Sus scrofa: one gene and its partner. The protein of the gene in region 2 binds, or shares a complex with, the protein of the main gene of each other region. Links are inferred from orthologs where the notes say so. Each region holds a gene or a part of one and is shown on either strand. Other genes may lie near its edges.

Evidence for each region. Proteins that work in one complex are often made in the same cells at the same time.
Region 1: GINS3 (region 2) and MCM4 share a complex: the UniProt entries of both Homo sapiens proteins name them as parts of the CMG helicase complex. The link is inferred for Sus scrofa from reciprocal best matches to the Homo sapiens genes GINS3 and MCM4.

Annotation. Positions count from the first base shown.
Region 1 is NC_010446.5:79,680,458-79,683,974, forward strand, and holds part of MCM4 (DNA replication licensing factor MCM4), read right to left. Parts: intron 2,561-3,517; coding exon 2,422-2,560; intron 695-2,421; coding exon 474-694; intron 16-473; coding exon 1-15. UniProt on the Homo sapiens protein: Acts as a component of the MCM2-7 complex (MCM complex) which is the replicative helicase essential for 'once per cell cycle' DNA replication initiation and elongation in eukaryotic cells.
Region 2 is NC_010448.4:20,161,382-20,165,497, forward strand, and holds the start of GINS3 (DNA replication complex GINS protein PSF3), read left to right. Parts: upstream 1-1,314; 5' UTR 1,315-1,453; coding exon 1,454-1,639; intron 1,640-4,116. UniProt on the Homo sapiens protein: Required for correct functioning of the GINS complex, a complex that plays an essential role in the initiation of DNA replication, and progression of DNA replication forks.

The DNA of each region.
Region 1 (3,517 bases), on a different chromosome or scaffold from region 2:
CTCCTGGAGCTTGATCTGAAAGAGCCGTGCAGACCCTCAAGACAGGCCGCGCCCTCCCCGCTCACAGCTATTTCCACCTCCTTGGGAAGATTTTCACATTAAACCTGCTATGGAATAAAGTGTGCACGAGAAGCCGGCACACACTCTCAGCCCAGTGGCTGCCGGGTCACCCACCTGCCAGCTGACAGACTTAGCCTCCACGTTTGGGGACCTTCAGGTTTTACATGTGCCTGCCTGATGGGCTAGAGACTCTCCAACCTTAGTATTTCCCACAGAAGCATCTCATTAAATTTGACTTAATCACAAGTGATGCTAAACTGAGGATGCTCCCTTACAGAACCCCTGCCCCTGGCAAGACCCCAGAGGAGCACCCAGGGCCCGGCCCAGGCCTCTAATGAGCCCGCCTGCCCCAGAGCAAATGAAGTGCGGTTTCAGGGGTCCGGAGTGGAGAGGGCATGTGGAGGGGCACGCACCATCTGCTTGTCGGAGAAGACGGAGCGGTTGTGGATGAGCGCCATGCTGTGGGTGGTGTGGCAGCGCTCGCAGGTGCCGGGCTCCGCAATGCGGCCTCGGTCTATCTCCACCCGGGCCGTGTGGGCGCACACCTGGCACTGGAAGAAGGCCTCCTGCATCTCGGGGATCAGCTGGGACGTCCTGATCACCATGCCGCTGATGGCAATGAGCTGGTCGATGTCTGCAGGGTGGGGAGAGGGCAGCTGTCCTCTCTGAGCTGGAGCAGACGTCCAGCCAGGAGGGCCTCAACTGAGGTGTCGGGATGGCCAGGGTCACAGAGCAGACGTCTCGCTGGCTACCCTGGGGTCTGGCCTCAGACACGCTTCCCGTGTCTGGCTTGCTCCCCCCAACCCCTTAGGTCCACTTACCCGTGCTGAGCTGGGCCAAGCAAAGGCTACCTGGAGATGTGGGCCCCAGGATGCAGCCGAGAGCCATGCTTGTGACCATCTCCTACAGTCACAGGGGCCATCCCCACGTCAAACACCATTGCTTGTCTGTTGTTTCTTTGCTGGGGCCCTGTCCCAGGCACCCCCATCTCTTCCCTCGTCTGCCTCCTGTCCAGCTCCACTTTTTGCCTCCATGCTTTTGCCCATGTTGTTCCCTCGCCTGGACCTCACTCTTGCCACACGCGGGGACCCTGGCTCCTAGTGAACCAGGTAGGCGGGTGGGCTGGGTGGGGTTCCCGTGTGCCCTTGGGAACAGGCTGAGCCTCCGCAGCCTCACCCATGGGGCAGGAGTCGGGCCCCCCTGCTGCTGAGGACTAGCACCCTGCAGAGAACCACCTTCCCCACAGCTGAGCTTCTCAGGCCGCCAGCTCTCACCAGGGCTCACGTGGCCTCTGCCATCTGGTGCCCCCCCAACCTCCTGCTCCCTCCCACCAACCCTCCTCTTCTTTTAAAATGTAGCTGTTGTGATGGTTGGATCTCTGGAAGTTTCTTGACTTCCACAACCATGGTCATTGCCAACCTCCCTGGAACTTGCCCTTTAGTAATAAAGCAGCCCAGCACCCTCATCTGGACAACTCCTACCCACCAGGGTCCCTCCACAACCTCCCAGTGTGGGGATGGTACCAGAGTCAAGTTCCCAAGGGAAAATATGACTCTTCCTTCGTAAATGGCCAAGTCCAATATTTGCTGCTGTTTATTGGTTGTTTCGCTTTTACTGAGATTTGCGCCTTTAGCACATTTACCTACAGGAGTACTTGCTAATTTCCTACAGCTTTTATACCTCACTCAACCATCACATCTGCCCTGTGTTTTCACTCCTATAGGCACCGTCCATGGTGGAGCATCCTAACTGCACTTGAACATACCCTGCATACTCAGGAACTTCTCAGGAGAAATTCTTTCTCCTCAGAAAGGATCAATGGCTCCCCACTGGCTTAGGATTAAAAGCCTAAGCTCCTCAGGCCCCACCCAGACATCCCTGCTGCAGCCATCACGTCCTGTCTGAAGTCTTGCTTCACTTCTGCTCACATCCCTTCTTTCTGTCTAGAGTGAAGCCCTTAGGTCTGCTTCCCAATCCTTCCCACTGGACCGGCACTGCCTCTACTTGGGCTGAGACTTACCCACCACATGCTTCTGCCTCTTCCACCATTTCTTCTGTAAGCTTCAGGGCAGGGACTGCATTTTATATTTGTTTTCAACACTGACCCTGAATTTAGAGAGCTACCGAGTTATGGTATCTTTTTTATGGTTTTACTTTAGGTAACAATAGGTATGGTGGATCTAAAAGCTTATGGGTGACTGGATCTGTCACTAGGTCTTGTCAATTTATAGCCCACAACCAATGCTTTTAAAGTTCCTTGATGAGGTTTTTGTTTACTTTCACATAAGGTATTTTCCTGCTATTAAAAGTGTTACCCTCTATATGTCATCTCTATCTCAGTAAAAGTGGAAGAAAAATCACCTTCTGGATTCAGGTTCCTCATATTCTTAGTCTTCAATGCATTGAATGGTCTTACTTGAATCTGATGTTCTAAGATCGAGTCAGGATAACGGTCAAAGAAGATCTCATTGACAGCCATGTCGAAAGTTGGGATAACTTCCTTTAAAAACAAACATAATGCAGGCTGTGTTTGTGTTCTTATTTCAATATATTCTTATTTTTTTATTTTTTGTCTTTTTAGGGCTGCACTTGTAGAATATGGAAGTTCCCAGGCCAGGGGTCAAATTGCAGCTGTTGCTGCCAGCCTGCGCCAGAGCCACAGCAATGCAGGATCCAAGCCACGTCTGCGACCCACACCACAGCTCACAGCAATGCCAGATCCTTAACCCACTGAGCGAGGCCAGGGATCAAACCTGCAACCTCATGGTTCCTAGTCAGATTCGTTTCTGCTGTCCATGATGGGAACTCCCAATATAGTCTTAAATATAATAAAGCAACTCATGTTAGCAAAGCATCAAAGCAAGAAACAAAAAAACCCCACAAAAACTCACAACCTGCATAATCCAAAAACGTTACCTTGTAAAATCACAGACATGCTGTTTACAAACCCTTGGGCACCCTGAACTCTCTCACCTCTGCATATTCCCACTTGAGTTAAATAATACCAGACAGACAATAGTGCCTTCATGGAGTTCCCTTGTGGTGAGGGTTCGATCCCTGGCCTGGGAACTTCTGCATGCCATACCCAAAAAAGTTGCCTTTATGATACTGTAGTTACATGAGCTTAGTAATAGAACCTCATCCTCTCATGACTTACTTTTTCTCTATAACAAAATGATATCAAAATATTCATTCAAATTTTTTAATACCTATTCCCCATTTTGCAGATAAGGAAACAGCCTCTTGGAAGCTGAGGAACTGGACCAAAGTCTCAGTTACTTAGCAGCAAAATCAGGATTTAAAACCAAGTCTGGGAGCCTTTTCTCGAGGTTACCTGAGCTGCTACCTCCCAGGCTTAAGTCCTAATTTCACCCCAAATAAAACTTAGCTCTCAACTTAAAAATAAAGCAAAACCAAGTGTACCTGCCTTCAAAGCCTCAAGCTAGATTCCATGTAG
Region 2 (4,116 bases):
GAAAGGAGCATATCATGTCATGTAGGGTCACACAGGGAAGTACCTGACGGGCCTGTCAGGAGGCAGAAGGAGGGAGGGGAGGACACCCCTTTACTGAAGGACCCTGAAAACACTCCCAGAGCCTTTACTGTGGTTTCTGTGGGAAGAAATGGGTGAAGCAGAGTAGGCAGGTTTAAACAAATTTAGGATTGGATAGTTTGAATAAGGCTGGTCTCCAACTGTCCAGTTCTTGGCCCTGGGGTGATTTAGGGCGGGGAAATACTGGTTTGGTATGTGGGAGTTAGATAAAGGCTTGGGATATGGGCTCTGGATCAGTTAGTTTGTACACGGAAGGCATGTTCACAGGCAAGTTGTTTGCGACTCTAGGAATTAGCTCACCCTGGGAGGAACAGTTCCTACCCAAGCTGCAAGGCCCCAAGATATCAAAGCCTCATAAAGGACAGAAAATAAAAAACATGATGAATACACATTCCTTTTCCATGAACCCTCTGCTCATGGCTCTATAGCCCAGAATGTCCTTCTTTATGAAGTAAGTTTTGTAGTGCCTCTCTCAACACTGCCACCATCCATAGCCCTGACTAACGCCCCCAAGTCTGGTACCACATCCCCTTCCCACCAGACCAGTGATGGCACATGACTGGCACCCAATCTATGGAATGTCTTGCCACCTATGACCATTGTGGCCTGCCTCAAAAAGAGATGAACTGCCCATTAGATTTCTTCTTTTAAGGATTTAAAATAAAAGCCACAAATGGAGTTAGCCGTTGATGGTAAGGTGAACTGGGAGGTCCTGACATAGACTCAGGACCTCTGCAAGCCACGTGCGCTCCTCCACCACCACCCCCCCATCTACCCTACTATACCTCCTCCGAAAAGTCTGTAATAACTGTCAGGGGCTAGTGTTAGAGTGTTGCTTTGTTTTTAATGTTTCAAGATTAACAGAGATTCTCAGAGACTGACAAACTGTAATAATTAAGCCAGACTGGATCAGGCCTGAGAGGAAGGGCGCAATGGTCTTTTTTAAGCCCCTAAATGTACTGCAAAGTGTTTTTAATTTCATGTAAACATTTAAAAGACCACATAACTCAGTCTAGTGCAGACGCTTCCTGCAGCTTCAACGGCATTTCCTGCTTCTCTTTGAAGTTCTCACCCTGGGCTACACTGCGGGAAGAAAACTTAGTGCGGATCCACCTACTGCGCCCTTACCAAGGAGTTGCGCAAAACCAAATCCGCAGATTTTGTCGATTGCTTCTTCCTGGGAAGACCCGCCTAGATCGACTGCTTCTGTCTGGCCCAACCCCGGGCGCGGGAAAAGAGTTTGAATCCTACCAGGTGGCCGCAAGGACCTCCTCAACCTTCAAAATCCTGACCAGCCTCAGCCACCGCCACCTCCTCCTCCTTCTACATCCCTGACTCCCCGAGGTCTCCAGAACAACGAGAGTGGACCGCCGCCATGTCCGAGGCTTATTTCCGGGTGGAGTCGGGTGCGCTGGGGCCTGAGGAGAACTTTCTTTCCCTGGACGATATCCTGATGTCCCACGAAAAGCTCCCGGTGCGCACTGAGATCCCCATGCCGCGCCTCGGCACTTTCTTCCTGGACCGGAGCGGAGGGGCCGAGACAGACAACACAATCCCTCAGGTAAGCCTTTGGCGCGGATCCCCTAACCAAAAGACTACCACTCCCAGTGGGCCTTACGGCCCTGGGGCCGCATGACCGGGCGCGCTGCCTCCTGGGATCTGTAGTTTTAAGGAGGGGCCCGGAAGTGCGCTAAAGGAGTTCTGTCCGCCGATTCCCCGCGCTCTAGAGTCCTTCTCCCCACCTACTCTCCGCGACCCTTACGGAAACGAAATTTACACTGAGTCGTTGAGCTCCCTCCCACACTCAGTTTTGAAACCAACCAAATTTAGCAGTGTCTTCTCTCCCCGGCATGTGTTCTTGCTTTAGAATTGGCACCGACTGAATACTTGAGGACCAATGGTTCTGACCACTTTTGCCTTAAAACAAAAGTTTTTGCTTCTGTAGGAGCAAATAATATCGGGGAGCCCCAAGTTGCTAATTTCATTCCTGCATAACGATGACAGTATCACCTACCATTTACTGAGTTTTATTGCCAGCATGGATAGGGCAGGGGGAGTATAGTTTTCCGTGTATTAGCCTTTAATTTTTCAACAACCCTACTGTTAAGTGTTGTTACATGGGAGGAAATTGAAGCTCAGAAAGGTTGGGTAACTTGGCCAGGGACTCATTATAAGCGGTGAGCTTGGATTCGAACCTAAGACTGCATGACTTCAAATACGAGTTTGTCCCAGGAACTTGGCTTGTAATGGTTATTTTTGATTTCCTATTTAACCTGAGTTTTGTTTAGAAGGGTGTTTTTGTTTGGTCTGTTTTAATTTTTTTCAAAGTAGGACATATGCAAAGTTTAAAAAGTCAATAGTACCAAAAGATTTATAACAAAACATAGCAGGCCTTGCCTTGCTATGTCCCTTCCCATCTCCACAGTCTATGTTTTTCAGAGTTTCTTCAAGATTCACCTCCGTGTTTCTAAATAATGTTTTAAAGTTTATCTTCTTTGTAAAAAAGAATTTAGACATTCTTTATTGACGGAAAACTCAATATGATAGTGAAGGGTTTAATTCTCTTGCGCGCTGGTAGACAGAGATGTGCCCTACGTACTTTATTCGTATTTCCTTCTTTTTTACCTAACGCCCTATTTCTGTTTCAGGATCCCATCCAGGACAGCACATTGCATTTAGTAGCCATGGGTCCTTAGGCTCCTCATGGCTTTGATAGTTTATCAGACCTTCCTTGGTTTTAATGATCAGGAATTTTGTGAAGTGCTGACCCACTTTTTGGTAGAGTATGTTCCTCATTTGGGATTTGTCTGATGGTTTTCTCATAATTAGACAGTGTTTTGAGGAGGAAGACCATAGAGCATAGAGGTCAAGTGCCCTTTTACCAGGGTCTATACACCATCAACGTGACTTATCATGGTGATAGGAACCTTGATCACTTAGCTGAGGTGGGTTTGTCAGGATTCTTCACTGTAAATTACTCTTTTCACCCTTTCCACACTGTTCTCTCTGGAAGGAAGTTGTTATGTGCAGCTATGCTTAAGGAGTGGGGAATTATGCTCCATTCCTTGAGGGCAGAGTGTCTGCATAAATTATTTAGGATTCTTCTGCATGGGAGATTTGAGTAAAACGTCACATATTTAATTTCATTCTTAGATATAGGACTATTCAGATTTTCTATTCTTGTGTTACTTTTGATATGTTGGTTTTCCTCCTGCTAGGAATTTGAATATTTAAATGTTTAAATATAGTGGTATAATGTTGCTCAGAACATCCTTTTACTCTTTTTTTTTTTTTTTAATTATAGCCTTTTGCTATTCCTTTTTTTTTTTTTTTTTTGTCTTTTTGTCTTTTTTGCCTTTTCTAGGGCTGCTTCCCACGGCATATGGAGGTTCCCAGGTTAGGGGTCTAATCGGAGCTGTAGCCACCGGCCTACGCCAGAGCCACAGCAACGCCAGATCCGAGCCGCATCTGCAACCTACACCACAGCTCACGGCAACGCTGGATCCTTACCCCAATGAGCAAGGCCAGGGATGGAACCTGCAACCTCATGGTTCCTAGTCGGATTCATTTCCGGGCTCCACGATGGGAACTCTTGCATTAGGCTTTTAAAAGAACTAAGTAATGGCTCTGTCAACTTTCTCATTTGTACTTTTAGGTCATTAAGTTCTTATCTTAATTAAAGTACTTTCCTTCTACTTTCTTTGGACTTAATTTTCTTTGTTCTCCTAACATTTTGAGATGGGTACATAGGTCATTGATTTTTCAACTTTATGCTGGGCATTTCTCCTAAGCACAGCTTTAATACATTTCACAAGTTTTAATCTGATTTTCATTTAATCTGATTTTTCATTGTGATTTCTTCTTTGACCCATGGATTATTTAGAAGACTGGTGCTTAGGTCCAAACATTTGGGGATTTTGCTCTGTACATTTTTGGTTTTGATTTCTGGCTTAATTCCCAGTGGTCGAAGAATGTAGTCTGAATCATTTCAGTTTTTCAAAAGTTAACACTTGCTTTAAGCCCCAGCATGAGATCAGT